Ovis aries: one gene and its partners. The protein of the gene in region 7 binds, or shares a complex with, the protein of the main gene of each other region. Links are inferred from orthologs where the notes say so. Each region holds a gene or a part of one and is shown on either strand. Other genes may lie near its edges.

The links.
Region 1: the proteins of GNAO1 (region 7) and RGS16 are in contact, whole or in part, in a crystal structure (PDB 3C7K), measured with the Mus musculus proteins. The link is inferred for Ovis aries from reciprocal best matches to the Homo sapiens genes GNAO1 and RGS16. Residues at the interface, in NP_034438.1 of Mus musculus: Glu64, Asp65, Gln68, Ser75, Arg86, Thr117, Val180, Lys181, Thr182, Thr183, Gly184, Ile185, Val186, Gln205, Arg206, Ser207, Glu208, Lys210, Lys211, His214, His236, Glu237, Asp238, Glu239; in NP_035397.2 of Mus musculus: Glu85, Phe86, Ser87, Glu89, Asn90, Glu124, Ala125, Pro126, Glu128, Val129, Asn130, Asp132, His133, Glu134, Leu161, Lys164, Asp165, Ser166, Arg169, Lys172.
Region 2: the proteins of GNAO1 (region 7) and C5AR1 are in contact, whole or in part, in a cryo-EM structure (PDB 8JZP), measured with the Homo sapiens proteins. The link is inferred for Ovis aries from reciprocal best matches to the Homo sapiens genes GNAO1 and C5AR1. Residues at the interface, in NP_066268.1 of Homo sapiens: Ala31, Lys32, Lys193, Asn194, Leu195, Glu318, Tyr320, Phe336, Thr340, Asp341, Ile343, Ile344, Ala345, Asn347, Leu348, Arg349, Gly350, Cys351, Gly352, Leu353, Tyr354; in NP_001727.2 of Homo sapiens: Asn71, Phe75, Arg134, Leu137, Val138, Pro141, Ile142, Gln145, Ile225, Thr229, Arg233, Ala234, Thr235, Arg236, Ser237, Lys239, Thr240, Val243, Val244, Ala303, Gln305, Phe307.
Region 3: the proteins of GNAO1 (region 7) and P2RY2 are in contact, whole or in part, in a cryo-EM structure (PDB 9K20), measured with the Homo sapiens proteins. The link is inferred for Ovis aries from reciprocal best matches to the Homo sapiens genes GNAO1 and P2RY2. Residues at the interface, in NP_066268.1 of Homo sapiens: Ala31, Lys32, Asp33, Val34, Leu195, Gln305, Glu309, Glu318, Ile319, Tyr320, Cys321, His322, Met323, Val334, Phe336, Thr340, Asp341, Ile343, Ile344, Asn347, Leu348, Gly350, Cys351, Gly352, Leu353, Tyr354; in NP_002555.4 of Homo sapiens: Asn66, Ser68, His130, Arg131, Gly134, Val135, Pro138, Leu139, Leu142, Arg143, Met221, Arg224, Leu225, Ala229, Tyr230, Gly231, Thr232, Ser233, Pro237, Ala239, Lys240, Lys242, Ser243, Arg245, Thr246, Leu308.
Region 4: the proteins of GNAO1 (region 7) and HRH3 are in contact, whole or in part, in a cryo-EM structure (PDB 8YN7), measured with the Homo sapiens proteins. The link is inferred for Ovis aries from reciprocal best matches to the Homo sapiens genes GNAO1 and HRH3. Residues at the interface, in NP_066268.1 of Homo sapiens: Ile28, Ala31, Lys32, Asp33, Val34, Lys193, Asn194, Leu195, Asn312, Pro315, Asn316, Lys317, Glu318, Ile319, Tyr320, Phe336, Thr340, Asp341, Ile343, Ile344, Ala345, Asn347, Leu348, Arg349, Gly350, Cys351, Gly352, Leu353, Tyr354; in NP_009163.2 of Homo sapiens: Asn69, Asp131, Arg132, Ser135, Val136, Ala139, Val140, Tyr142, Arg143, Ala144, Gly147, Ile221, Ile225, Arg228, Arg232, Thr345, Phe348, Arg349, Arg352, Val356, Leu360, Cys415, His416, His417.
Region 5: the proteins of GNAO1 (region 7) and CHRM2 are in contact, whole or in part, in a cryo-EM structure (PDB 7T8X), measured with the Homo sapiens proteins. The link is inferred for Ovis aries from reciprocal best matches to the Homo sapiens genes GNAO1 and CHRM2. Residues at the interface, in NP_066268.1 of Homo sapiens: Lys24, Ile28, Ala31, Lys32, Leu195, Tyr320, Asp337, Ala338, Thr340, Asp341, Ile343, Ala345, Asn347, Leu348, Gly350, Cys351, Gly352, Leu353, Tyr354; in NP_000730.1 of Homo sapiens: Asn58, Arg121, Cys124, Val125, Pro128, Leu129, Thr130, Pro132, Val133, Lys134, Thr136, Ile209, Ser213, Lys214, Ser215, Arg216, Ile217, Arg381, Lys384, Val385, Thr388, Ile389, Cys443.
Region 6: the proteins of GNAO1 (region 7) and C3AR1 are in contact, whole or in part, in a cryo-EM structure (PDB 8I95), measured with the Homo sapiens proteins. The link is inferred for Ovis aries from reciprocal best matches to the Homo sapiens genes GNAO1 and C3AR1. Residues at the interface, in NP_066268.1 of Homo sapiens: Ile28, Ala31, Lys32, Asp33, Val34, Asn194, Leu195, Ser264, Asn316, Glu318, Tyr320, Asp341, Ile342, Ile343, Ile344, Ala345, Asn347, Leu348, Arg349, Gly350, Cys351, Gly352, Leu353, Tyr354; in NP_001313404.1 of Homo sapiens: Asn57, Asp119, Arg120, Val123, Val124, Pro127, Ile128, Gln131, Asn132, Arg134, Asn135, Tyr356, Ile359, Arg362, Gly366, Arg367, Phe368, Ser371, Lys374, Thr375, Val378, Leu438.

Annotation. Positions count from the first base shown.
Region 1 is NC_056065.1:63,093,191-63,096,562, forward strand, and holds the end of RGS16 (regulator of G-protein signaling 16), read right to left. Parts: intron 2,530-3,372; coding exon 2,308-2,529; 3' UTR 630-2,307; downstream 1-629. UniProt on the Homo sapiens protein: Regulates G protein-coupled receptor signaling cascades. Inhibits signal transduction by increasing the GTPase activity of G protein alpha subunits, thereby driving them into their inactive GDP-bound form.
Region 2 is NC_056067.1:54,073,293-54,077,552, reverse strand, and holds the start of C5AR1 (C5a anaphylatoxin chemotactic receptor 1), read right to left. Parts: upstream 2,853-4,260; 5' UTR 2,798-2,852; coding exon 2,795-2,797; intron 1-2,794.
Region 3 is NC_056068.1:51,434,097-51,438,310, reverse strand, and holds the start of P2RY2 (P2Y purinoceptor 2), read right to left. Parts: upstream 2,927-4,214; 5' UTR 2,879-2,926; exon of another isoform or gene 2,653-2,878; intron 1-2,652. UniProt on the Homo sapiens protein: Receptor for ATP and UTP coupled to G-proteins that activate a phosphatidylinositol-calcium second messenger system. The affinity range is UTP = ATP > ATP-gamma-S >> 2-methylthio-ATP = ADP.
Region 4 is NC_056066.1:54,698,588-54,702,668, reverse strand, and holds the start of HRH3 (histamine H3 receptor), read right to left. Parts: upstream 2,801-4,081; coding exon 2,545-2,800; intron 1,495-2,544; coding exon 1,328-1,494; intron 329-1,327; coding exon 1-328. UniProt on the Homo sapiens protein: The H3 subclass of histamine receptors could mediate the histamine signals in CNS and peripheral nervous system. Signals through the inhibition of adenylate cyclase and displays high constitutive activity (spontaneous activity in the absence of agonist).
Region 5 is NC_056057.1:102,026,041-102,030,548, reverse strand, and holds the start of CHRM2 (muscarinic acetylcholine receptor M2), read right to left. Parts: upstream 2,847-4,508; 5' UTR 2,683-2,846; intron 1-2,682. UniProt on the Homo sapiens protein: The muscarinic acetylcholine receptor mediates various cellular responses, including inhibition of adenylate cyclase, breakdown of phosphoinositides and modulation of potassium channels through the action of G proteins.
Region 6 is NC_056056.1:207,178,275-207,182,525, forward strand, and holds the start of C3AR1 (C3a anaphylatoxin chemotactic receptor), read right to left. Parts: upstream 2,840-4,251; 5' UTR 2,632-2,839; intron 1-2,631.
Region 7 is NC_056067.1:23,782,179-23,785,905, reverse strand, and holds part of GNAO1 (guanine nucleotide-binding protein G(o) subunit alpha), read left to right. Parts: intron 1-2,406; coding exon 2,407-2,567; intron 2,568-3,727. UniProt on the Homo sapiens protein: Guanine nucleotide-binding proteins (G proteins) function as transducers downstream of G protein-coupled receptors (GPCRs) in numerous signaling cascades.

The DNA of each region.
Region 1 (3,372 bases), on a different chromosome or scaffold from region 7:
GCAGCGGGGAGCGAGAGCAAACAGGTTCCCTTGCTTGCTCACTCCCTGAGGAGAGGAGTGGGGAGCTGGTTCCTTTGTGAAGGGAGGGTAGAGTGTTGTTCAAGGCTTAGGCAGGAGGGGTAGCCTAGATGTTCTGTCCACCCCTTAGCTGGTGTTGTGTGCAGGGGGTCTGCACGGTACCCTATTTTTGCTCTAGGCTGCTCAAAACTGGCAGTTGTGTTTTTTGGTCTCTTTGTATCTTTTGAGTACAGAATTTGCCCCAGCTATGCATGCATGGGGCTCTTTTGTATTGTAAAATACAGTTCCTTTGTATTTTGTTGCTGAAGGAGATGTGTATCCAGGTACAAGCATTGCAGCCTTGCTGCAAAGGGTCCCAGGTCCCAGGCTAGGCTCACCATCAATAGGACACAACAGCTTGACATGAGCTGGGTCGTCACCAGCTGAAGGAAGTTACCATCCTGGAGGCCACCATTAGACTTGGGCCTTGGACGTGCACCTCTGCCCATATACCAGCAAGCTTCCCCGTGTGTCCTGTGACATTTCTGGAGACCAGCTCTCCCACAAGGCACCCCCAACCCTGAGCACTTCCCTTCCCTCTTCCCCCGACCACACAGCCCTTGCAGACAGGATTGATCTCACTTTTGGGTTTTATTTTTATTTCACAATAAAATAACATGCTGCAATAGGAAAACGGGGATTGAATAAGTACATCATTCACATCTAGGAAACCAGCTCCCGTGGTCAACAATAAATAAATATTTAAACGGCGAGGAGTTCCTGGCGGGCGCCAAGAGGTTCCCAGCACTTCAAGAGGTAGCGTCTGCTGGAAAGAGGGAGACAGCCAGGCTACCACCTCCTGTGGATTTTCCAGGAGAGGCAGACGCACAAATAACAATAAATAACAATAGCAACAACACAACAACAGCAATAAAAAATAATGTGCCATGACCATTGTCTCAAAACCAACAATATGTTAGGCTTAAATACTTTTCTCCTGGAGGAGCTCCTAGCGCAGAGAGAACAGTGTGGATTCCCTGGGGGCAAGAGGGGCTGCCTGGTTAATTCACCTCCCCAGCCCAGCTGGGGCAGAAGTCCCACCAGGGAATGGGTGTTTGGTGATGCCCTGGGGTGACAAGCAGGTTCTGATTTCCCCTAGTCCTGCTCTTCCCAGCAGCCTCTCTCCACCCCAGTTTCATTCCCGGCTTCTACAGGCTATCCAAGTTCATCGAGGTCCCTGCCTCATTTCTCATCAACACCCAATGAGTACACCCCAACAAGCTATAGGAAAGAAACACAAGGTTCCCCTTCCATCCTGGGGAATCTCTTTTTCCCTGTTCTCATCCTCACAAAAATAAAATATTAGCTTGATTTAAACAGGACTTTCTGGAACTGCCATGAGGTTTGTCTCCCAGGAGCCCTTTCCCCCTTGTTCCACCCTGCCCAGCATAAGGGCTGGACTAGTCGCTCACCAAGAGGCCCCACATCTTGCTCCAGGCAGCTCAGAGCTAAGAGGGGACACATCCCAGCAAGAGGCTCTCAGCAGGTCCTGCTCACAGGTGGACCCGGTGGCATCCATGGAGTCAGAGGCCCCCGCAAGAACCCACCAAGAGCACCAAGGTTCATTTCGCATGGGCAAGATGGCCTGTTTTCGGGGCTCTCTACTGATTTGGAGAGGGGCTTGAAAGCCAGTTTTTGAGGTAAATATCTCATTCGGGGCAAGCATCACATCGGTACTCTGGCCTTGACAAGACTGCCAGGCTGGACACTGCCAGGTTGAGAGGTGCAAGCTAGGCAACCCCCCAACCCCGCCATAGCCCAGAGGCAGGTGAGGAGGACAGGATGAGAAGACTCCACCATCCATGGCTCCCTTCATGCCCAGGACAGTCTGGAAATTAGGAAAACAGGTCAACCATTCGACAGGCAAAACTGGCTAAGCTGGTTGTCTTTCTCTCCCTCATTTTCAAGTTCCCCTTTATCCATGCATTTCGCAAAGCCCCCTGGAAATATCCCTTGTCCTGTTGAGAATGGCCAGAGCCAATGATGACTCTTGCACCATCATTCTTCCCCCCCTTAAAAGCCCCACACAGCCCTCATCTTCAGCCCTGGCCCACAGGTCCTAGAAGTGGGGTGACCCTCTCACGCACGGAATTCAGTCCCAAGGATCTGGAGGTGAGGGTGTCACCGGGTCAGCTTTTTCCTTCGCTGTCCTCTCTTGCTTTGCAGAACCTGCCTCCCCCAAGGGGACAGCACCTTGGGGGTGGGTGACTCAATCTCTCTGCCCGGCTGGCTCCTTCCAGGCCCTGAGGCTCAGGTGTGCGAGGCCTCAGCTGGGCTGCCGCTGGACGGGGAGGCAGAGGCGGCCATGGCTTGGGTGGCCAGGTCCCGGTAAGCGGGGGACTTCAGGAAGCGCGGGTAGGAGTCCTTCTCCATCAGGGCTCGCACCTTCCGCTGCGCCGCGTCGAAGCATGCAGCCGTGGCGGCCTGCAGGTTCGTCCTGGTCAGCTCCCTGGTCTCGTGGTCTATATTCACCTGTGGGAAGGAGCACAAGCACGTGGGTGAGTGGGGGGCTCAGAGCCAGGGTGAGGGGACTGGCAGGCCTGGGAGGACTGGCGGGGGGCAGTGGAAGGAGCACTGGGTTCTGAACCAGGAACTGGGGCTCTGCTGAGTTGACCATCAGTGGGCTTTTCAGCTCTGGGCCTGTCCTCCCTACTACTCTCCACTCTCTCAGAACCACCCAGGAGATGTTAAGAATGGGCACAGATCCACCCTCGTTTCACCTGTTTCTCTGTGACAACCCAGGTTCGAGTCATCACCACCTCTCTCCTAGGCTACTGCCAGCACCTGCTATTGGGTCTCTCTCTCCTCCCCTGAACCCCAGGGTCTGTTCTCCACCTAGCAGCAAAGACAGCCTCACAAAGCACAAGCCAGTTTGCTAGCAGTTCTGTTGTTCCCCATCACTCCGAGAAAAGGCCGACATGGGTGCTGAGCCCACAAGGCTACCGGGGCCAGCACCTGGCCGCCTGCCACCTGTGTGACATCACCTCCCACTCTCTCTCACTTCCCGCTCCACACGGGCCCACTTGCTGGCCTGTGAGCACAAAGGCACTCTCTGATCTTTGTATTTTCTCTTTCCTGTGTCTCATCCTCCGACCCTGTACCCTGGTCCTCCCTCTCATAGCCTGCTTTCTTTTTATCAGAGCATAGAGCACCCCCTGGCAATAATTATTTAATTGGTTACTGTCATCTTCTCTCACTGGGGTAGAGGCTTTGTGTTCACTGCCATATCCTTGAGGACTATAAATGTGCCTTGCATGTAACTGGTGCCCAACATATCTTCATGGGAGAAATAAAAATGCTCAGAAAATAAATACA
Region 2 (4,260 bases), about 30 Mb from region 7:
TGTTAGTTTGTTAATTCTCTAACCACAGTGTTTACGGTACAACAAGCCCAAAGGCGGGTACTCTTTTTTTCCTAAGATCAAAGGCTCGTTTTTAAGAGCCCTTGCCTACTGTGTGGAGAAAGGGCCAGATCAGAAGCTGAGAAGGAGAGGTGATTGGAATTGCCCAGCTGTGGTGAGGGATGATGGTGGTTTGCACTAGGGTGGTGAGTGTGAGGACTCATGAATGGATCAGAGGAGGCGAGGGCTAAGGAGAAGATGCTTAGGAGAAAAGCAATCAGAATCACCAAGTTCTAAGTCCTTTTCCTGTATCAGCTCTTCTTTTTTTGCCACTGCAATACCCACTTTGCAGATGAGAAAACTGAGGCTACAGACAGCTTAAGAGACCTTTCCAGGTCCTCACTGTTAGCAAGTGACAGAGGTAGGAGAGACCTTCAGAGAGTCCAACCCTAGAACCTTCTCTGAGAGGTTACCAGGCCTCAGGCGTGGTGGGAGTGAGGGGACCCCATGCCTTCAAGGCAAAGGGTCACACGGTAACAGGGAGGATGTCACACACCAGAAGGTGAAAGAACACCAGCGAGGCTGGCAGGTAGCCAGGATGAGGTTGGAGGAGCCACAGATGTCATGTTAAAGGAGATGTGTTTTATCCTGGGGTCATGGGGAGCCGCAGATGGTCTTTGAGTCACAGAGGGACTAGATGAGCGTTCTTGTTCAGAAAGCTTCCTCTGGCTGCTGTGGGGAGGTGAGATTAGAGGCAAGAGGACCAGAGAGGAGGCTGGGGCTGGGACTCAGGCCAGCAAAGACGGGAGCGATCCCCAGAGGAGGAAGAAAAGTAGGAGCGTTAAGAGGGGCCACACGCCCCTTCCCTCCCTTGCAGGGCTTCCGTCTTGCCATCTTCAGGGCAGGGAACGTCCTGCCAACTGTCCCCTTCTTTATGGCGGAAATAATAGACTCAGAGATGCTGTCAGGCCTAGGAAATACACAGAAGGCACGGGCTGCTTTTTTTTCTGGAACATCCCTCTCCCCATTTCTACGTGGACACAATGTCTTTAAACAGTCCACCCACAGAACCACATAAAACCACTAAGGCATCCTCAGAAACTGGGATACAAGGATGGGGGTGAGCATCTCGACTCATCCTCTTGAATCTGCACAGTCTTTGAGACTCAACATCCCTGAGCACGAAGAAACACAGGCATTTGCATTTTAAAAACGATGTGAAAAAGACAAGCCTCCGGATCCTTTCAGGATGCGAGGAACTACCTTTCAGGCTGGCAAAAAGCAAAAATAGTTCCATCTGAACATGCAGATGGGTGTCTAGACAAGTAAATACTCTCCTGCTCTGAAGATGAGGAATATAAATTGGTACAGGTTTTGGCAATATCTGTTAAAATAAAAATTGTCTGTGTCTTAGATTCAGCATTTGCAGTTCTGAAAACCCAGACATGAATCCAAAGATATAATTCTGGTGTTTCAGGGTTTGCGTTTTTTTTTTTTTTTTTTTTGGCTGCCCAGCCTGTAGGATCTTATCTCCCTGACCAGCGATCGGACCCAGACCCCTGACAGTGAAAGTGCTGAATCTTAATCACTGGACCACCAGGGAATTTTCTAATTACAAACAGCTAAATTTCCACTGATAAGCAATGGAAACTCTCACTGGCATATCCCACAGCTGATGAAAAGATAAAGGGAATTTCCCTGAAACACACCAGGATATACCAGTATGTTTCTCACAGATTAAGCTGACGTTTGTAAACGTCAAGTGCCTAGCACAGTGCCTGGCATGCAGGTGGAGGTTGTCAATAATATTATAAGTTATTCACGTAAGAAAAAAAGCGAGAGGTAGGATATCGTGTAAAAAAGACTTCTCTTTGTAGGGTAGAAAGGATAGACACATCACAGGCATTGAGAGCCAGCTGTATGCCAGCCACTGCTGAAAGCGCTTCCCATGTATTATCTCACTGAACTCTCTCCATGACCCTGTGATACAGACTATCCCCATCTTAGTGACAAGGAGAAGGAGGCTCAGACAGACGAGTCTCTTCAGCTCCTACACAAGATAGGCAGGATTTGAACCTAGTTTCGGTATGATCTCCATGTCAAAATATTCCTTACTCTCTACACTGTCATGGACTGTTTCCAGAAGTGTTAGCCACAAACTGTTGCCCTGATTCCACCCTCCTACGTTTCTGGTTACAAGAAACCAGAGCTACGAGGAATCTGAGTCTCTGGGCAGGGATGGTCCTTTCACTGAGTACCCTTTAAGGATTTGGGACTTTTTTTTTTTTTTAATTATTAGTATTCAGAAAGAAAAAGCTCTAGTCCATCTTTTAATTAAAAAAAAAATTCTGACATTACAGAGCTAAAGTGAAATGTATTAATATTCCACTCCTATATTTCCATGACAAAAAAAAAATCTCATGAGCCAAAAAAACACAGGGATTAGCTTATAAAACTAAATATGGATCTCAGCATCAACTGAGCAGAGAAAGGAATTAAAACATTTCAATTTTAGAAAATCATGGGTGAATAATAAAATGTGTAGAAACAAAATTTTCAAACTATTTTGGGATTATTTAACAGAGAGGAAAAGTCAAAGCTAATCACGGGCCCTATAACCCCTTGACAGTCTTACTTCTTAGCTGCTTCCCAGCCCCTGAGGGGGAGAGGAAGGTGAGGAGAGAAGGGGAGAGGTCAAGGACTGGGAGGAGGAGGAAGGAAAAAGGGAGCAGATGGTGCCAAGAAGGGAGAGCACACACATAGGGGGTGTCTGCCCCCCGTTCCCCTCTAGACTCACCATCTTCAGGTCTCTCCCAGATTCTCCTCTGATCAAAGGCTCCCAAGGGCTGTGGCTTGCAAGCCCCAAGGGAGGGTGCAGATAACCAGAGAGGAAATGACCCGTCTTACCCCTCTGGGGTTCTCATTGGTCTGGGGCTTGGGGTTTCTTCCGCAAGGCACACACCCAGTGAACCCTGAACACCTCCTCCAGCCGCTCCATGGAAGGGGCCAGGAGGAAGTTCCAGGTCCCAGGAGGAAGGAAGCCAGACGTTAGAGACTCCCACCTTGTCGAGACCTGGCCCCTCTCCCTGCCTTGAGTTCCCCATTTGAGAGGCTGTCTCTTTCCTTCTGGAGAAGGAAATGGCAATCCACTCCAGTACTATTGCTTGGAGAATCCCATGGACAGAGGAGCGTGGTGGGCTGCTGTCCGTGGGGTTGCAAAGAGTCGGACACGACTGAGCGACTTCACACACACACACTCACTCTTTCCTTCTATGGCCCCAGGTAGCCCTGAAAAAGCTCAGGGGTTCAGTTGGCTTCAACCTGGGAACTGGGAATTGATTGTGAGCCCCAGCCTCCCAACTGGGTTCCATTGAGACCCAGAGAGGAAAAGCAAGTCTGTGAAGATGGCCCAGTACTTGAGGACTATTCAGTCTTCCCGTCTGCTGCTGCTGCTGCTAAGTCGCTTCAGTCGTGTCCGACTCTGTGTGACTCCATAGATGGCAGCCCACCAGGCTCCCCCGTCCCTGGGATTCTCCAGGCAAGAACATTGGAGTGGGTTGCCATTTCCTTCTCCAATGCATGAAAGTGAAAAGTGAAAGTGAAGTCACTGAGTTGTGTCCAACTCTCAGCGACCCCAGGGACTGCAGCCCACCAGGCTCCTCCATCCATGGGATTTTCCAGGCAAGAGCCATCACCATCTTTTCCAGTCCCTTTCTGGGTTATTGCTGAAACATGCTGGAGTCTGGGGTGGGGAAGAAACTATGTTATTAGTTTCTCATTGCTGCTGGAATAAATGGCCATAAACTGAGTGACTTAAAACAATAGAAATGTATCCTCTTACAGTTCTAGAGGCCAGAAGTCAACAGGGCTATATTCCCTCTGTAGGTTCCAGAGGAGAGTGTGTTCCTGCCTCTTCCGTTTCCACTGACTGGCAGCACTCCTTGACTTGTGGCCACATGGTTCCAATACCTGCCTCTAAGGACAGAGACATCGCCTTCCCTCCAACTGCGCGTCACAAGTCTCCCTCCGCCTCCCTGGTATAAGCACCCTTGTGATTACATTTAAGAACCCTCTAGGGGACATCCTTGGAGGTGCAGTGGATAAGAATCTGCCTGCCAATGCAGGGGGCACGGGTTTGATCCCCGGCCGGGGAAGACTCCACATGCTGTGGAGTGACTAGGTCTGAGAGCCGCAACTCCTGAACCTGCACGGTGCAATGACTGAAGTCCAGGCGCCTACAGCCTGCGCTCCGCAACAAGAGAA
Region 3 (4,214 bases), on a different chromosome or scaffold from region 7:
ACCTGAGCATTGCACTTTACACAGGAGAGAAAGCCTAGAGATAAACCCACACACCTATGGTCACCTAATCTGTGACAAAGGAGGCAAGAATATACAATGGAGAAAAGACAGTTTCTTCAATAAGTGGTACTATGAAATCTGGACAGCTACATGTAAAAGAATGAAATTAGAACACTCCCAAACTCCATACACACACACAAAATAACTCAAAAAATGGATTAAAGAATTAAATGTAATGCAGAACACTCTGAAATAAATTACAGCAAGATCTTTTTTGACCGACCCCCTAAAGTAATGAAAGTGAAAACAAAAATAAACAAATGGGACCTAATTAAACTTAAAAGCTTTTGCACAGCAAAGGAAACCATAAGCAAGACAACATACAGAATGGGAGAAAATATTTGCAAATGAAGGAACTGACAAGCGATCAATCTCCAAAATATACAAGCAGCTCATGTAGCTCAATATTTTAAATCCAAACAACCCAATCAAAATATGGGTGGAAGAACTAAGTAGACATTAGAAAACTGTGAATCAAAACTACAATTAGGTATCACCTCACACCTATCAGAATGACCATCATTTTAAAAAAATCTATAAACAATAAATACTGAAGAGGGTGTGGGGAAAAGGGAATTCTGTTGCACTGTTGATGGGAATGTAAATTAATATAGCCACTATGGAGAACAGTATGGAGGTTCTTTAAAAATCTAAAAATAGAACTACCATATGACCCAGCATTCCCACTACTGGGCATATACTCAAAGAAAATCATAGTTCAAAAAGACACATGCACCCCAATGCTCATTGCAGCACTATATACAAATTGAGGCTAGGACATGGAAGCAACCTAAATGTCCATCAATAGATGAATGGAATATTCCATATATACAATGGAATATTACTCAGCCATAAAAAGGAACAAAATAGTGTCACTTGCATAGACAGACAGACCTAGAGGCTGTCATACAGAATAAAATAAGTCAGAAAGAGAAAACCATATACTCTCTATTAATGCTGTTCTGACCATACCCTGCTCACAAACGTTCCATGGCTCCCTAGTTGCCTTCAGGATGAAATCCAAGTTTTCATCTTGTACACCCTGAGTCCTGTAGTGCCCCGGGACACACTGTTAGGGCAATCTGTGCCACCCATTCTGATGGCCTGACTGGTTTCCCGTCCTTTATACTGATATGGCGCTCTGCTGTAGACAGGCTTTCCCTGGGGACGCTGGGGACAGGGGACAGGGCTTAGCGGCTGCTGCTTCTCCCCCAGTTCATCTCAGTGCTGTGCAGGATCCTGGCAGCACAAAAATGAGTGAGATCCAGTTCCTGCCCTCCAGGGGTTCTGAGACCTTGGGAATGAGAAGCAGGAGACAGAGACCTTAACAGTTCAGGGTAGAATTAGGGCTCTAAGACCGAAAGGGCCCAGACGCGGCTCCAATCCAACCTGGCTAACTAAGGACGGCTTACCAGAGGAGGGGGCATCTGCGCTGGTTAGTTCTCCAACTGAGGAAGATGAGTAGAAGGGCATTTCAGGCAGTGAGCATGGACTATGGAATGGTCCAGAGGCAAGAAAGTGACTAGCATTTGCAGCGGATTACATGCATTTACGAGGATGGAAAGTCAGACAGGAGAGGTGGCTGGAGAGGGTGGCAAGGACCAGCTCTCAGATACCTTGAGTCCCAAGCCAAGGGGCTCAGATGTGATCCAGTGGAAGTTCTCTGAAAGTTTAGCCCAAAGAGCAAAATGACTGGGATTTGAATTTCAGGAAGTTATCCCCCAGGATCTGATCTTTCTAACCTCAAAGAGTGAGGCTGCCCAAGAGGACACTGGTGTTGAGCATGACCCACATGACAGCCCCTCTATAGTCCTTAAGTTCCGCATCACTATTATTCCCCTTTTACAGATGAGGCTCAGAGAAGGGACATGCCTTGCTCAGGGTCACATGGTGTACAAGGCATGATGGAGGGAAGGTCTCTGGGTCTCCAGAGAGCTTTTAGGGGGCCCTGTCTGCTCAAAGACTCTCTTTCCCAATCATTTCCACCAATAGACAGCTGAGACTTTATCTGGGCCCCACCCTGGCCCTCAAAAGCTCCCATTATTCCAGCCAGATCCAAAACAAAGTGGGCACTTCAGGCTGTAAGCCCAGGGAAACTGAGGGTGCGTACTGGAAGGAACAGCTGCCATCAGCCCCAGAGACCCCAAACTGGCATTTCTGGTCCGCAGCAGGGCCTGGCCCTTGGGTCTGGCTCCTGGGGGACCCTAAGCCTGACACTGGGAGCCCTCCTTAGGGGGGTGAGAGAGGGCACTGCCTTTCTCCAGGCTGACCCTTCCTACAGCAGCCCGCCAGATTAAAAGTCCCCAGACAGAGGCTTAACTGTCCTTCCAGGCCACTGCTCCGCGCGCCACCCACCCCCCGCCCCGCCCCAGTCTTGCCGATGCCCAGGCGAGGCTGCCACCCAGGGTGCCCCTGGAGAGAGGGGCTCGGGACCTCCAGGGTTGGCCTGTCTCTGGCTTAGGTCCCACGCTGCGGGGGCGCCGGTACCGGAGCACAAACACAAACAAGTTCCACAGGTTCAGCTACCTGACTCCGCAGGGGCGCACACTCTCACCCAGGGACACACACACTTGCCCGAATATGCGCACTCACCCGGGGTATCCGTCCACATTCCCCGCGATCGAACTCCGCTGGAGCCCGAGCTTGACCACGGACCCGCCGGAGCTCTCACAGGGGTTCGGAGCCGTGCCTTCTCGGCCAGCCGCGCGCGCCGCTCTGCCTGCCCGGCGCCGGCCGAGTCGCCACCCCGCGCGCACCCGGGCCAGCCCGCCCGCGGCCCTCTCTCCGCCCGCTGGTCCTGCCGGCGGCCCGCCCTCACCTCGCAGGGCGCTAGTCCTCACGCGGTGCCCGGACCTGGCTCCCAAGTGCTCGCGCCACCGCGGGGACACACGTGCCCGAGAGCCTCGGCCGCCCCGCCCAGCTCCCCACCCCTCCGGGTCAGGCCGGGGGCGGGCCGGACTCTGGACAGACCCAGGCACTGCCGCCGCCACCTCCTGCCGGGGAGAGACACTCCGCTACCCGCTCGGGAACACTGCAGGGCCATAGGGCGCTGCCCGGGCAGGGATGGGCGGCGACTGACCTACCGCCTGGGGACCGAGGCTCCCTGGCCTTCCTCACTGGGGTGATGAAAGGCTTTCAGAAACTTTGCTAAAGTTTTGCAAAGTTCAATGTCTCTGTGACCGCTGTCACTGCCCACCGCAGAGCTTCCAGAGAACCTGTTCAGGGACCTTGCTCAGAGCGCTGGCCTCCCATTGCCTGTGGGGAGGAAATCTGGGCGCTCAGGGTCCTGACCCTCCAGTTCTGGCAAGGAGAGTGAAGGGAGCCTCTTGTGCTCTCTCTGTGCTTAATCTCAGCCAGAAAGAGTCAATAGAAATTCCTTAAGAACAGGCTTTTTTTGGTCTGTCATCTTGAGCTACTTCCCATGAGCTGCCTTTTCAGCCTACTCCCGCCACACACATTACTCTCTTCTCTGCCCTCAACCCCATTCGGATGGCTCCTGTAGCCAGGGACCCTAGTCTATCCCTTTCCTGAACTGTGAGCTCCAGGAGACCAAGGACCAGTCAGTCTGCCTCTTTCTCCTGGTCCCAGAGGCCTCAGGAGTTGCTTAATACTTGTTGGAATGCTTGAATGAATGAATGAAAATGACCACCACCCCCTTCTCATTCTGGTCTAGGCTTGGAGAGTGCAGGTTCTGACTCAGCTTCAGCCCTGACTCTGGGAGACCTTGATCCAATTCCAGCCCTTTTGGGGCCTCCTTTTCTCTGAAATAGAGGCGATCACAGTCACCCTTCCACCAGTCAGTGTTGTTCTGTGTGGGGCTCTGGACAGTCAGTGTCTGGACCAGTGCACAGAAGGTCTGTTTCTGTGGCCGAGGAGCTTGCCCAGGGCCCTGGGACCTTGGGTCCTGCTAGGTCCCACATCAGCTGACTAGGCCTGGCTGCAGTCTTGCCAGGAGTGGGAATAGGGTGGACACACAGCTCTGTGTGGCTGGGCCGCCTCGGCAGTGCCCCAGGGACCTTCACCCAGGAGACACAAAGGCTCCTTGTCCAGCCTCCTCCATCTATTGTCCGAGTGGATCCATGCAGCTTCTAAGGGGCTAGGAATCCCTGGAGCCCCTACTTGAGGAGTCCAGGCCTTGGGGTCTCATTGTGGGG
Region 4 (4,081 bases), on a different chromosome or scaffold from region 7:
GGGCCTCGGGTGGAAGCTCGGTGGTGGCCGCCTCGCGCACTCCATCCAGCCGGACACGGGTGCGCCTCTGGATGTTCAGGTAGATGCTGAGGTTGAAGAAGGTGACACTGAGGAAAGGGGTGAAGAACTCAAGGGTGGAGGCCGTGATGAGGAAGTACCAGTTGTAGAAGAACTCGGCGTAGCAGTGGCCCTCAGGAATGGAGCTGCCGCCAGACAGGTGCTCCCAGCTGAGGATGGCGGGTCCATAGAGCAGGAAGGCCAGCACCCACACCAGCACCATCTTCTGCACCGCCCGCCGCGTGTCACCCTGCTGGGCCCGGTAAGAGACCTGTGGCGGGACACGCTGGGTCAGGAGGCAAGGGGACTGAGCCAGGGCACAGTGCTGCCCAGAGCTCCGGGCAGCCTCCAGGCCTCTGTGCAGGGCCCTCCTCAGCAAAGACGCTTTCCCTTATCCTCCACGAACCCCCAGTAGGCTGAGGCCTGTGACTCTCCCATGGGCTCGGAACCGCCTCTCAGAATCCTAATATTGTGCCAGGCTGCCTGCAAGCCATCCCCCTGCCAGCTGTGTGCTCCCTAGGAGTCACGTCACTGTCCAGTCCTTTGAGGACCCATTGTGTGCCCTGCTCTGTGCTCGGTATCTTTGATATCATCTCATTTAATCTTCACAGCTGCTCCACCCTGGTCCCCACATTCTTGATGGTTCAGGTCAGGCAGGAAAGACCACAGGTGGAGGGGCTCCACGGGCAGGGCTGACTCCAAACCCATGCTCTCTGCACCCTGACCCACTGCCTCCCTAGACTAGGACACACACAGCCTTGGCAGAGGGAGCCTGGCAGAGCCGTCAGAGGAGATGGCACCAGACTGACCTCTGGGGCAGTGCTGCCGCCAGCCCTGTGCCTGCGTGACTCTGACATGGGAAGTGTGGGCAGTCCAGGGTCCCTAAGTGTGGCCACCCACACCCAGGGCAGCTCATGGAGCCTGTCTTTCTGAGGCACACACACCCGTGGGGAGGTCCTACCAAGGGCCCTTGGCCCCAGATAGTCCCTTAGTTCCAGGGACTTTGGACCTGCTCCAGGGTGGAGGCTGGAGTGACCCCCTCCTTCAGGTCCAGACAGCCCCTTCTGCCCAAACCAGGACCCGTCCTACTGGCAGCAGATGGCTACTGAGCAGGCAGGTGGCTACAGAGTGCCTGAGGTGAGCAGACCCCAAGCCCACCCAGCACCGCCCATTCAGAAGTGGCCGTACCCCCTGCCTGGTGCGTCTCCTGGCCGCCTCTGGCCACCCTGCCCCCTGAGAGTGAACATGGGCACCCACATCCCAGACTCACGGCTCGGGTGACCGACAGGAAGCGGTCATAGCTGATGAGAACGATATTGAAGACAGAGGAGGTGCAGAGCAGGTAGTCCACCACCAACCACAGCTTGCAGAGGCCCCGGCCAAAGGGCCAGCGACCAGTCAGCACGTAGGGCACATAGAGTGGGATGCAGAACGCCCCTGTGGGAAAGGAGGGCCATGGCTGGGCAGGGGCCTGGGGTCAGACCCCCCCACAGCTGGGAGATAAGCAGGACCTGGGGTCACATAATGGGCCCCTTTCTGGGACCAGCAATCCCCCCTCCACCTCCTTCCTAGGCATGCTCTGAGCCCTGCACCTGGCCTCCAACCCTTGCCCCACCCCCAGCCCCACTGTGTTCCTGGACTTGGGAGCAGGAAAAAGCTCCAGCGGTAGGGCCCACTGGGCACAAGGAGACCCAAAGCGTCATTCCTGGCCTTTTGCTAGTCCTCTCAGTGCCTGAAGGAAGGAAGAATTTCCTTCCTCTCCGCCCCGCTGCACCCCAGCTCCTATCCTGGCCTTTGGGCAGCTCCTCATCATCAGCTCGGAAGCCGAGAAAACATTTCTCCGGACTCAAAGGGCACTTGACTGCTACCATGCGGGCGGCTCCCAACGCCAAGCCCCGCTCTGAGCAGCTGGCAGACGCTCCTCTCAGCCCCAACAGGTGTCTGGCGCTCCGGCCCCCTCCTTGCGCCCCCCCCCCCCCCCCCCCCCCCCCCCCCGGTCACAGCCGGCAGCAGCGCACGGACACGTGAGAGCGCGCGCTTCAGAGCATCTCCCCAACCCCGCCTTCCCCGCGGCCTCCTCCCCCAACACGGCTCTAAAAATCTCCCTTCCACGTCCCCTCCCCCCAGCCTCCCCCCAGCACCCTCCCCCCAGCACCCTCCCCGTGTCCTGAGTCCGCTGCAGCCTTTGTTTGGCTACGGCGCAGGAGCCCGCGCTGCACAGTGGCCGCAGAGCCTTGCGCCTTGCTGAGCGTCCGCTCGCTCGGACCCCTTCCCCGGGGACGTCCTTCCCCAGCCCCAGTCCCGGGGCCCGGGAGGCAAGGAACTTCGCCTGTGCCCACCTCCCCAAAGTCCTGGACACCCCCTACCCAGGCCTGGCTTCCTAGCGGGGTGTGTCCCCGAGGAAAAGCACCCTAGGTCCACGTTCCAATCCCTGCTGACCCGACCCGGCTGGGCGCCCCTGACTCTGGAGGGGGCTGGGGGCTTTACCCACGAGGAAGTCGGAGATGGCGAGGTTGAGCAGAAAGAAGTTGTTTTGGGTGCGGAGGCTCGAATCCGCCACGAAGGCGAGCATGACCAGCGCGTTGCCCAGCACCGTGGCCACGATGAGCAGCGCCATGAGCGCCGCCAGCACCGCGGTCCAGGCGGCGGAGAAGCCGCGCGCCCCGCCCGCCGCCGCCGCCGCCGCCTCGCCAGCCAGCGCCCCCGACGCGTTCAGCGGCCCGTCGGGCGATGAGCGCTCCATGGCCCCGCCGGCTCACGGGGCGCGGGGGCGCGGGGCAGGGTGCGGACCGCCAGCCGGGCGGCCAGGAGTGGCCCCGGTCCGGGAGCCTGGTCTTTGCGGGCTCTCGGCCCGGCCGGGTTCCCCGTTGGGTGCCCGGCGCATGGTCCGCGGGCGCCGAGACGGGGGCCGGGGCGGGCCGCGCCCAGGGGGCCCGGCCCGGAATCTGAGCCGAACCGGGCCAGCGGCAGGAGCACTGCAGCCCGAGCGGACCCGGGGCGGAGCTGGAGCCGGAGCCGCTGCCTGAGCGTCCGTGCGCCCGGAGTGCCGCGCGCAGCTGAGTGAGCCCCGAGGCCAGCCGGCGGCCCCCCGCGCCCCGCGCAGCGCCCCCGCCATTGGCTGCCGCCCTCGCCCCGCCCCCGCCCCGCCCGGCGCCGGCAGCACCACGGACAGCGCCGCGTGCCCGCCGGGCCGCCGGAGCCCCAGCCCGAGTGCGCACGCCGGCTGGCGAAGAGCCTGGCACGGCGGTCGCCCGAGCTGGGGGCTCGCCTGCGGTCAACCGCCCGCGCACACAGGAGCCAGTCTCTGGGCCGCTTGACCTGCCCAGTGCCCTCCGTCCCGGTGACCCCTGGCTGGCTCTCATCGGGATCTGGGGCGCCTGAGGGGGTCCGGAGTGGGAGTGAGGGGAAACTTCTGCATCCGCGCTCAGGGGAACTTGCCCCCATGGGACCCCCTCCTCGTTTCACCCTTCGAGCAAGCAGGACTCGGAGAAAGGAATCTCCCGAGGAGAAAGGATGGGAGGGGTCTCCGATAGCCGGTGCCCTGGTCAGGGGTTTGCTCCACCCCCCATATGGGTGGGACGTTGGCTCTCACTCTCCCTTGGGCAGGACCCAGGGTAGGGTCCAGGGTGACCTGCAAGGAGCAGACAGATGTGGAGTTACATAAGGGAAGATGGGGAACCAACGAACCCAGCCGCGAAGGGAGCGTGCCCACCCTGAGCTCAGGGGGCCGTAGGCTGGGGGAAAGCGACCGTCGGCCTGGCACCCAGCCTCGGGGTCCCCCCCGGTGGACAGCGCGGTGGTGAGGTCGCTGATGCGGGGACAGACGAGGTCACTGCGCTCCGGGCGCAGCTAAGGCGGCGCGCTGCGTTAGCGCCCGCGGGAGGGGCTGGGGGGAGAGAGGCAGGAGGGAGCGCCCCCTCCCCCAGGCACAAGCGTTCGGATAGACAGGGTCAAGGACGAGACACACACAGCGAGACAGACAGACACGCCCGTAGGCAGACACACAGACACCCACAGACGGGGG
Region 5 (4,508 bases), on a different chromosome or scaffold from region 7:
AGCCCACCCTGAATTTTTGGATCCAAGGACTTTACCCTACTCCTGCCCCATCTCATTCACAGAGTTTTAAAACAGTAAGCTGAGTTAGTTGGTATTTCCATGCCTTTTTAGGGTCAAGTTTTACTTTTCAGCTTTAATTGGCATAATTGTTTAGCCTAATAAAGCATGTAGAGTCAATAGAAGTTGCTTAGAGTACTGCCACAGCTAGACACATTTACTAATAATAGTAATAATAAAAATTCATCTGATAATAACATTACTTCTTGAATCCTTAGCTGTCAAATCCTGCAAAGCTGCTACACTGTTGGCACAAAATTCTTCCATCCATTTGCCAAAACAGTCTCAAAAAGTCCACTTTCTGAATTGTAGCCTAATATAGTTCTTAGGGTGATCTACTGATTTAATTCTATGATTATCCCCTTGTGGTTACCACCCCAAAGACCCCACATACACATACCTAATTGCAGTTTCTTAACTGTGTCATCATCCTTATTATTTGGTTATCAATGAAAGTGTACTCTCTCTATATATCCTTCTATGTATTTTCAATATAATGCATATATTATATTTGATTGCCAACAAAATACAGGAGGAGGACCTTGTGGCCCAAGGTTGGGTGAATAGCTGTAGTGTGCAAGGTGCCACATTTCAGAGCCCTCTCAAGGCGGGTAAACTAGAAAGGCCTGGAGCAAAGAGAGCTGCTGGTCCACTCCAGGACCTGGCTATCTGAACTTCCCCAGAGAAAGGCTGCTCCCCTAAGGGTGGGCTCTCCTCCACGCAGGCGCTGAGGGGGCCAGAGCCTCGGGGTCCCCTCAGAGCAGCTGCACCCGAGCTACAGTGCTGGGGGCCTCTGCCCTCAGAATCTCCCCCTACTCCACCCTCAACCCCAATTCAAGTTTTTCCCAGGCCTTTCCCATTGCCCCACTGTTTCTCTCCGGAATCTGGGCCGGCTCAACCCTCCGCGGAGACAAGGCCACCGCCGCCCTGACTGTGATCCTGGTCAAGGAGGTGGTCCTTGCCGCAGGCGCTGGGGTTGTGGAATTGGGGGGCGGAGGCTGCGTGCGGGAGCGCGGGCGGGTGTGCGGTCCAGCAGGGAGATGCGTGTTGTGTCGCTTGCTGCGTGTACTAGGGGATGGGCAAACTACACGAACCCACTGCCACCCAGCGCTAAGAAAAAAGAGCAAGAAAAGCAACACAAACCAGAAAAACGCAAGATGAAAGGGAAATAGAAAGTCAGTCCGGGGGATTCCGGAGCTTGAGGACTTGAAGGCTCCGTGCTCTTGCTGGGCTCCCCGCGATTGGGCGGGCCGACTTGGAGCCCTTGGTGGCCTCCGTCACAGGCGGGCCGTGGCCGTGAACCGACTAAGGACACGGGAGGGCGGCTCGGGTGAGATGTCGGTCGACAGCTCTGCTTGCCTTAGGCGTTTACCTCCGTTTCTCCTCTTTCCTCCCTCCCCTCCATCCCGAGGGACTCCCCAGAGATATTTCCTTACAGGCAACCCTAGTCTCAAGGCGTGGGTCTGGCGAGCCCAGTGGACCCTCCTTTTTACGATTTTGTGGCTTAGAGCAGCCTGGAGGACCGCGACGAGCAGGAGGCTACAGAGGGATGGGGACGCTGGCGGGAGGCTGAGGCAGTGGGTGTGCGCTGCTTTCTGAGTCAGTGATTCCAAGGAATCTTAAGTCTTGACCTCTTCAGAGCTCTCCCAGGCAAGCAGCGTCCAGCCCCGCCGGCGGCGCCCAGGGGGCGCCGGGCAGAGCGCACAGGTGGAATTGCTGCGCGATCTCCCAGCGCGGGATTGGACCGTCCGTACCTCGCAGGTTCCGAGAGCTACAAGTTATCTGCGATCGCCCGAGTCCGCAGGTGCGAACGGCAAAGGGATATTGTGGGTCGGGTCATTCCCAATCTACAACCCCGAAGCCCGCAGGGGTGGCTCAGATCTCATGGTGAGGTGGCTGTCGGCGCAGCCCTGGCACGGTCCGCGACCCCGCGGGCTTGGGGCTGAGACCCTGTCCTCTAGCCGAGGCGGACCGCCGACCTCGTGTTAGGGCGAAACGCGACGAGGTTGCAGCAGGTTTCCGCCTGCTCTGTCCTGGGACCCTCTCCCCATTCGTATCCCCCCCGCCCTTGGCCACGCTCCTCGGACTACAGCGCGAAGCCTCCCTCCGGCCACCTGGCGCGGGCGCTCACAGAGCGGAACCCGCGGATCCTGTGGGGCCGAGGAGCCGGGCCTCCACCCCAAACGCCTGGGAGACGTGGCCAGACCCCAGGCTGGAAGAAACGTGAGGGGCAGGAGCGGGCGAAGCTCCCCGGTTTGCGGACACCGCAAGGAGGGGGGAGCTGGTGACAGTGCAGGGGGAGGGGGCCGGGCTGCAAGAGGCAGCGACGCCCGGGCGGGCTCGGGCCCCCAGGCTGCCTTTGCCACATTCCTCCGGACTCCGTGACCCGCGGAATGGCATCCCTTCCCGCGCTCTGCCTCTTCTGCCCCTGCTTTCCGTACCCGCCATCGCTGCCCTCAGTTCTCCAAGCCCCAGAAATCAAAGTTTCCGTTTGAGGATCTGGACTTGTGGAAGAATTCTCCAATTCCCTCACCCCAGACCCCTCGGCGCCCGTTCCGGAGAATCGGGAAGTGCCAGGGTCCCTGGCGCTGGCCAGCGGAGGGCTGAGCAGCTGGCTGTCCTTACCTGCCGCCGGATTGGCTCCAGTTGCCTCTCCAGGCTGCAGTGTCCCTGGCGTGGGCTGGCTGGCAGGAGCGTGGAGCCCTTCACGGGTTCGGGGCTGACCCGCCGCGGAGCTAGCCGCGCGCGGCTCAGAGTCCGAGGCCGGGCGCCGGCTTGCGCTCTCCCTTGATCTTGCAAACGAAAAGGAAAAGATTAGTTGGTGCCGCGACACTCGGAGGGGTGGGGCGGGGGAAGGCGGGGAGAGAGCGGACCTAAAAGCTCCGGCAAGAGCCGCGGGGCTCGGGCGCGCGCTAGCAGAGTCGCGCACCCCACACGCGTCCCAGGCACTTTACGAGTCTGGAGGCCCTTGGCGGTGTAGACTGGAGTTAAAGTGACACTGCCCCCGCCCGCCACACCAAAACACCAAAGGCGAAGAAGCAAAAAGGACTTTCAAACCTGGCTTTTACGAAGAAGAGGTGTCTGGAGAGCAAGATAGAACGGAGACCTGGCTGGACTGACGAGCTGGGCGGGATTCATTTCTTCACCAAAGTGATTGGGGAAGTAGTTATTAGTGTAGGGGCAACTAATTACTAATTAGTTCGGCGCTTCTGGCCGTCTCCGAGTGGAATCTGCAGTTTCAAGGCTCTGGCCAAGCCGCAGGCTGGCGTGTGTGCGTTCGTGTGTGTACGCCTGTCCGTGTGTGTCACGCGCTCTCGCTGGAGCGGGTCTCTGCGTCTGGGCACCTTTGGTATAAAAAGAGAGTGTGTATGTATTCGTCAGTGTGTGTTCGATTAGCTGCGATGGGCAGACAATTTCTGGAGAAAACATTTACAATTTTCTTTCAATATGACGGGATTAGTTGCTGTTGAAGGCGCTCCTCCAATGAAATCTTCTCTGCTCTCTGATTTGGTGGTTCTTCTGAGCAAATATGACAGGCTTTTCTCCAGGCTCCTTTCTGCTCCTTTCCACGTCCATCCCCAGAGCCAAGCTCTCCATCTGCAATTTCTACATCAGAACGTTTACAGTTACCACCATTGCCCAGTCCCATTCCTGCAAGTATGATTGCTATCAAAGTGACATGACATATTGGGAAGAACTCGGTGTCGCTTTCTGATTGCCGAAGACGCTTAAGACCAGTTTTTCCAGGTGGGAAAATATTAGAATAAATCCTCTATGCTTTGTAAACATATAATCGTGCTGGACTATTCACAGATTGTTTATTTCTTTGGGACACTGGCAAATGTATAAGAGGAAGAGGTAACTGTTTTCTTTCTTCTTTTACACTAGGGTCAATGCCTATGTTTTCTTTGACTAATAGGCATCAGATTACAAAGTATTTCTGGTCCTTTATGAAATTTGGGATCTCCATGAAAAAAAATCAGTATATAATTTTTTTCTGTTAAAAAACTTAGCTTTTTATTTTTTCATTTTAATGAGAAATCCATTCCAAGAAGAATATTCATTATTTTTAGGCTGTAGTCCCAATTGATAAAGATAAAATGATATAAAACAATATGATTCTAAAGTATAGTTGAGGACAAGACTTGCTTTTGCGAAAGTATATGTATATAAACATAGCATCAGTGTATTATATGCTATAAGGCTGCATTTTCTTTCATCTACCTTTGGCAATCAAATGAAAACAGCTTGAAACCTTAATTGATGTATCCAATTAAGTTCAGTTCAAATCTTGATGCCTAGGCCTTTGCTAGTTGTCAAAGGGAATACAGAATAGCAATAGTCGCTGCCCCTGTCTTTTATAAGCTCCCTATTTTATTGGCTTCCCTGGTGGCTCAGTGGTAAAGAATTTGCTTGCAATGCAGGAGCCACAGGAGATGCAGGTTCGATTC
Region 6 (4,251 bases), on a different chromosome or scaffold from region 7:
TGGATGTTGTTGCTATGAACTTGGGTGTAAATGCATATTGTTTTATATAAACTGCTTTCTTTGATCACTTTTATCATTTAGCAGTCTCCATATTTACAGTAAGACTTATCTTGATGAATATTCAGACTTTATCCTCCCCCCTCATCCCCCAAGATATCCCTTATAGCTGATTTGTCAACAGTTGTATCCAGTTAAGGATCCCACTTTGCATCAGGATATTTCTTAAGTCTTTTAAATTAGCAGCTTTTCTTTTTCAAGAATACTGGCTTGTTTGGGGGGTCTGTTGTTCTCACCAGCTACTTCTTAACCCTTTGTAATTAGTCTTCTATCCCATCACTCTGCTAAAACTGCCTCTAGAGAACAAATACAAGCATCTTTTCCTTTATCTTTATCCTCCACAATATCCCTATTATTTTACACTGGCTTCTTGTCACTCTATTTCTCTTGGCCTCTATGATATAACACTTACCTAATTTTCTTTTCTTTCTTTCTTTCTTTCTTTTTTTTTGGCTGTGCTGGGTCTTCGCTGAGTCATGTGGGCTCGCTGGTTGTGGCTCATGGGCTTAGCTGCCCTGTGGCATGTGGGATCTTAGTTTCGAGACCAGGGATTAAACCCACCTACCCTGCATTGGAAGGCAGGTTCTTAACCACTGGACTGCCAGGGAAATAACTGTAATTTTTAACATTCCCATAAACATACCTTACTTTGTAGCTTTCCTGAACAATTCACTATTCCAAGTCAATGCCATTTTCTACTCCTTGGCGACTGCTGTTTATTTTGGTCTGGAATGATGTTCTCTGCCTTAACCTCCTCTTTCCTCCATTCTTAATCACTATCTGTTGAAATCCTAGTTATGCTGAAATCCTAGTCATTTTTCAAGTTCAAGTTCAAATATATTTTCCTTGAAACCTCTCTTATAATCCCAATCATAATTTACTTCTTCAGCCTCCTAAATTTTGTGTGTGTATAGTGGGGTTTAAACCATTTTTTGTATTCTCCGTGCAATGGTGCATTTTGTTCTGCATTGCAATTATTTTCATGGCTGTCTTGTCTATTACTCTAGTCTTAAGTTTCGTAATGGTAAACAAATATCTTATTTCTAAATGCTTGCTCCACAGAATTTAGCACAATGCTTTGTAAGACGTAAGGATTAAAGGTTACTTGAATGGATGGATGCTCATACTTGGGGTTTCTTTTCTTTTTCTATTAAATTAAAACTTTAAATTCTTATTCGGTTAATTCAGTAAGGATGCTATCTCTTCTAACTTCCTTCTTTTGTTTTCTAGTTCCCAATTCTTATTGGCTATAACAGCATTTTATGTTTCCTTTGGTAGAAACCCAGAATACCATATGACTTGTTCTGCTGAGTTGACTAAATGCTAGCATCGGGATTAGCAGAAGTTAAAATAACAAGAAAACAAAATAACAAAAAAGAAGAAGTGCTTCTCATTGTCCATTCTGTAGCCTTGCTTATTCTAATACTCGAGTCCTGTCAGGCTCTCTTCCTTTGCTGTTGTGCACGGCAGCTACCTTGATCACCTGTCCTACACACATATTCACGCGTCGATTCATAAAATACAGAGAGATGGAGAGAGTCACAGAATTCAAGGGCTGAAAAGAAAGTTAGCAATTATTTCTTCCTGTTTCTATGTTTATTTTGTAGTTTTGGACACTGAAACTCAACAAATTAGGGGGCTTTTACATAGTCACAACTAAGAGTGATCTCAAATCCTAGGTCCAATTATTATCAGGCCAAAACTCTTTTGACTACAAATAATCACATAACAGAAAAGCCTTTGGTATTGCTAACAGAGAAAGGCATCAAGAGCAGCACAGTAATAAAGAATACTAAGGAAATAATAAAGATTGAAAAGAGAAAAATTCCAATGTAAAGAAACTGAATCATCTGGCATGAGCTATACTTTAAATATCACATTTTGAAATGAAAGTGTATCTGAATCAGAATCTTAAAAATCTTTCAGTTCAAGGTAACTTTTTATATTTCTCCAAGTGTTTGGTTGAAAATTACCTCTGTATCTTTTTTTTTTTTAAGTTTTCAATACTGAATTGGTTTTGGTTGAAAAGTAACTCTCTCTATATATATTTTTAAATTTTCAATACTGAATTGACCAATCAGAATTAAAAAGATAAGTAATATCCTGAAACTAAAATTCAGCTATAATAGGGAAAGAAAAGTAGATACCAGAATCAAATACTAATAACAGGATGACAGAATCAGTAGCAATAAAGAATGAGGAAAAAAATAAAAGAGAAAAAGAGCGAAATGAAATAGAAAAAATATATATATTAAGAAAAATAGATAATCACTGATTTGGAAAATGGAACTATTGGGAAAAGCTGGAATCAAAGATCAGAAGGAGAAACAGCCAATTTAAGAGAGGGGAAAATGATGTAAAAATTCAATATTAGTTTCAGAATGAAATGTAAACAGCGAAGATAAATAGAATATGGAATAGCTAGAAAATGAAAAAGGTGGACATGGGAATAAAGCAAAAGAAATAACAGTTGGGGAAAGAAGGGGAAATAGAAAATAATGACCTTCAAACCATTATCTACAATGAAGAGAACAAGCTGGGCATAAGTCATCAGGTGCATCTAGGTTTCCTTACCAAAAACCCGAGACAATAGCTGAAGGCTTCTGCACAGGTCTGGAGGTCCCCACTTGTCCTGTCTGGTCCCCGCCCTTGACCACAGTCAGGTCCTGAAGTACAGTTAGGAACTTTGATGAGCGCCTCCTCTTTCCTCTCTCTCTTCGTTTCTGATGATAAACCAAACCCAACACTTTCCACTACTATCTGACTCCACAGGAAGAGTTTCAAAGTGAGTCACTTCTGAATGTCTCAGATAAGAAACGTTAAAAAATAGAAGCGGAAGAGCATGGTTCTCAGAAGTTTTCAGCAGTACAGAGTATGGTTGAAGAAAGCACTTTTGTACATGAACTTCCCACTTGATAGGGTTTTGCTTTTTTGTTTTGTTTTAGAAAATGCTCCAGTGGTATATGAATGTGGGTGAGGAGTAACTAGGGGGAATGACCCTCACAACCCCATGTAATAAATCTTAACCAACATCTCTTATACACTTAGTATGTGTCAAGGAATGTATCATGCAAAAATCAGAGTTTTTTGTATCATGCAAAAACTATATTCTTATTTCTAGAGAGTCACAATCTGGTGTGAATATGCACCTATACAACAACAACAACAAATGCTGTAATAACAATCCAGACCATAATGATAGAAGTAGCAGCAGAAGTAAAATACTGAATAGTAGAAAATAACAGTGGTGTATTTAGCCTGGGGCAATCTAGGAAAGTAGACTTAAGATCTGGGAAGGTCCTTCAAGATTTATGGGACTTCTCTCAAAAGAGGTGACAAACTGTTTTCCTTATTTATTTGACTGCATTGTGGCATGTGAGCTCTTAGCTCCCCAACCAGGAATTGAACCTGTGACCCCTGTAGTGGAAGCTCCAAGTCTTAACTACTGAGCCACCAGGGAATTCCTAGTGACAAGCTGTTTGGAATGTTTAAATGGCACATAGTGGCATCTGGCCCCATCACTTCATGGCAAATAGATGGGGAAACAGTGGAAACAGTGGAAACAGTGGCCAACTTTATCTTTTTGGGCTCCAAAATCACTGCAGATGGTGACTACAGCCATGAAATTAAATGGTGCTTACTCCTTGGAAGAAAAGTTATGATCAACCTAGACAGTATATTAAAAAGCAGAGACATTACTTGGCCAACAAAGCTCGTCTAGTCAAGGCTATGGTTTTTCCAATGGTCATGTATGGATGTGCTGCTGCTGCTAAGTCACTTCAGTCATGTCCGACTCTGTGCGACCCCACAGACGGCAGCCCACCAGGCTCTCCCGCCCCTGGAATTCTCCAGGCAAGAACATTGGAGTGGGTTGCCGTTTCCTTCTTCAATGCATGAAAATGAAAAGTGAAAGTGAAGTCATTCAGTTGTGCCTGACTCTTAATGACCCCATGGACTGCAGCCCACCATGCTTCTCTGTCCATAAAGAAAGATGAGCGCTGAAGAATTGATGCTTTTGAACTGTGGTGTTGGAGAAGACTCTTGAGAGTCCCTTGGACTGCAAGGAGATCCAACTAGTCCATCCTAAAGAAGATCAGTTCTGGGTGTTCATTGGAAGGACTGATGTTAAAGCTGAAACTCCAATATTTTGGCCACCTGATGCGAAGAGCTTATTCATTTGAAAAGACCCTGAAG
Region 7 (3,727 bases):
CGGGTCATGCCTGGTAGTAAGATGCCAAGGACCCGTGCATCTCACAAATACTGCAGAGCACCAACTGTGTACAGAGCATTGTGAGATGGGGGTGCCCTGAATAAGCAGAAAGCCGAGGGGCAGGCACATGCAGCGCCAGCTGTGACATATGGTGTGGTTGGTGCACCAGACTCTACCTGGGGGCGTAGAGGAGGGCTTCCCTGAGCAAGTGCCAGTAAGATGGAGAGGGGCAGAGCCCAGGGAAGGATGGCCTGGCTGGGTGGAGCACCCTGAGGCAAGATGACCCTGACTGCTTGGGGAACAGAGGAAAGGCTGTGTGCTTAGAGGACCAGGAGAGGGGAAAGGTGGGAGGTGGGCTGAACAGAGCTCAGTCAGGCCGGGGCTTTGGAGGTCATGGTAAGGAGTTTGGAATTTAGAAATAATGGGAAGCTATTGAGAGTTTAAACAGAGAGAGTTATTGTATCCATTAGAATTAGGTTTGACTGTGAATATCCGAGACCTAGAAAACAGTGATTTAAGTGAGCTAGAAGTCAAAAAAAAAAAGGCAAAAAGTAAAAGTAAGAAAAAGAAAAATGCGGAAGGTATGGAGGGTCTACAAAGTTGTCAAGGACCTGTTTTTAGATCACCAGTCCACTGTCCCTCGGGTATAGATCTTATCTTCATGACCCATGGTGGCTGCTAGAGCTCCAGCCATCACAGGTTTCAGGAAGGAAGGAAGAAGTGAGAGAAAAGGGGTGCATCTTCCCTTACAAAGCCTTTTCCAAAGACCTCACTACACTTGGGTTGATCTCTCCATGGGTAGAACTGGTCACATGGTCATGTTTTTGCCACAAGCAAAAAGAGGAGATGCCATCTTTAAGTTGGATATCAGTGTCCCCAGTTGGGAAAATGGGGAGTTCTTTTTCTACAGCCTCCCTGCTGACTGGTGTGGAAGACAGACAGAAGAGAAGCAAGAGGGAGGCAAGGAACCCTTGGGAGGGAGGCCAGGAACAGCCAGGAAGAGACAGGGAGTGGCTTGGACTCAGGGGTGTCCCAGAGGAGATGGGGAGAAGTAGATATGGGGATGGAGGTGGGTGACTTGAGTCTCAGTGGCTGGGCCGGTCGTGGTGCCATGCACTGAGCTGGGGAGACGGAAGGGAGAGCAAGGGCCGATCGAGACGTGTCGCCAGCACAAGACCCCTACCACCACCACACCTCAGTGATGAGGCGGAGCCAGGACAGCTCCAGGCTGCCCTTCCCTAGACCGTGCACCACATCCCACTGGAATGCAGTTCCCAGGATTCCACGTCAGACATAGAGGAGCACCAAGTGGCTCCTGCAGGCGCAGGTTTCTAAACCACACCCTCTAGTGGCCTGGCTGAGGCATAACATGGCTCTAGGTGGGAGGGTGTCTCCCCCCAGCAGAAGTCTGGCCCTGCCCACCACCCTCTGGTCCCCGAGTCCCTTCTCTCTGGATCAGGCAGAAACCTTGACAGTGGGGTCCAAAGGAAGAAGTTTGGGAAACTGGCCAGGTTTTTCCCCGTCATTCCTCACACGGGTGAGCCTTCCCGAGGTCACACGAGCACACGGAGCAGCATCAGTGTGTGGGCCCTGACTCACAGGCCTGTTTTTAGCCCCAGGTGGAGGCACCACCCCTGCTCACCCACCCGTGCCTCCCTGAGTCACCGCCTGCTTAAGGCACTCAGCGCCTGGGTCCCAGGGCCAGCTTTCCGGTGGCTGCCCGCAGGAGAGGCTCGGGTGCTAGAGAGGGGCCGGGACCCAGGCCCTCCCGGTGGGAGGCTTGGGAATCTGAGGGCTGGGGTCTGTGGGACACTGACCCTAGGGAGCTGGGTCTGGGGTGGCATCATGGGCCTGGCCTGCTTGCCTCCAGGCTAGTTACAGCTTCCTTCCCAGGGCAGGCATGCAGTAGGGGACACAGTGCCTGCACCTTCACGTTGACCTGCTGCATTAGACAGGCCCTGACACGTGAATAGCTACCGAGCTGACAGCTCGATTCTGAAAGTTTCCACCGAAGGCTTTGCCCCCTACATACCTTGGTAGAGACCCATGGACAGAGAAGCCTGGCAGGCTGCAGTCCGTGGGGTTACACAGAGTCGCACAACTGAAGCAACTTAGCACACACACAAGCACCTTGGTTGAGAATCTTTTGTCAGCTCTGCACCTTCCAGGTGTTGACCTTGCCCCCTTCCTTCATGTCTTTCCCACCCCGAAGGCCACCTGCAGATTGCCACCTCCTGCTCACTTCCTGAGCCATGAGCCGTGGCCTGCGGGGGAGGGGGGTGTCTGTCTCTCTCGGTGTCTTGGAGGGTGGTGGAGTTCAAAGGACTCGAGATTGGGGTCACCAACCAGTGGTCGTTGTTGTGCCAACAGATAAAAGACTCTGTCCGTGTTCTCATCTCCTCACAGGCTGATGCCAAGATGGTGTGTGACGTGGTGAGTCGGATGGAAGACACGGAGCCCTTCTCTCCAGAGCTGCTCTCCGCCATGATGCGACTCTGGGGCGACTCGGGGATCCAGGAGTGCTTCAACAGGTCTCGGGAGTATCAGCTCAATGACTCTGCCAAATAGTGAGTGTCCTGGGCAGGCGGGAGGCCACCAGCAGGGCAGCGATGTAGCGTGGAAGGGGCTTGGGGCGGGCACTGTGGGACAAGAAGGCATCCTGGGCTGAGGTTGGAACCGCTGTGAGATGCTTTGCCTTGTATGTCAGGAAGGAAGGAGAAGGGGCATCTCCTCCTGCCCATCCCCTGCCCCCCAGGATGAAAAGGAGGCCAGGGAAGTCGGGGGCACAAGAGACAGCTAACAGCAGGGCTCCCAGAGGGCCGGGGCCATCACCCGCCTGCCCTGGAGTGGGCCGGGCCCCCCTCCAGAAGGAAGGTTTTCAGTGCAGCAACCTTTTTTTTCCCCTGGAGAATCCTTGACCCCGTAAGTACTAATCAAGGGCAACAGGCAGAAAATAACTTACGTGGTTTTCTTTTTGAGAAAATAATAAGCTTTCTATTCCTCTGTCTTTAAAAATAAGGAATATGTAACCATCAGACAAGTGAAATAAATAGTCAGGCATACACTTTAATAGTGCATTACAACTAATAAGGAAAAGTAGAGGACAGAGGGGAGAGATCGACCTCAGGGCAGGAAAGAAGGTGGGGGGTGAAGCACTGAAGGCCAGAGAGAGTGGGTGGGCAAGAGAGGGGAGGGCAGAGAGGTGGCCCTTCCAGTGACCATGGGGCCACATGACTGCCCACTGCAGCCGAGTCACTCCAGGCGTCTGGAGGTTTACATGTCCTTGGCCCCTGGATCAGGGGTTCCAGGGAATGGTCCTCAGTGGTCAGAGATGCGTCTTCTGTTTGAAGACACTGGGATTACATTCCAGCTTTCAGGAAATGCATTCACATTTACAGACTCGTGCCCAGGTTTTCAGTGGGCATGAGACACATGTGCTCCAACACTGATCTGCTCAGCCTCCTCTCAGCCGGGGCCCCTTTGCCCCCCAGGACACACCAGCAGTGGTCTGGAGAGGTTTTCAGTTGTCCTGATGAGGGTGGTGCTACCGGCATCTAGTGGGTAGAGGCCAGGGATGCTGCTGACTTCCTAGAGACGCATCTTACAGCCCTCCACAGCAAAGAACTATCACACCCGCAGTGTCAGTAGCGCCAAGAGTAAGAAACGGTGGTCTCCATGGTGCTGATGTAGAGGAGGCCAGCACCGAGAAGGCAGCTTCCACTAACAG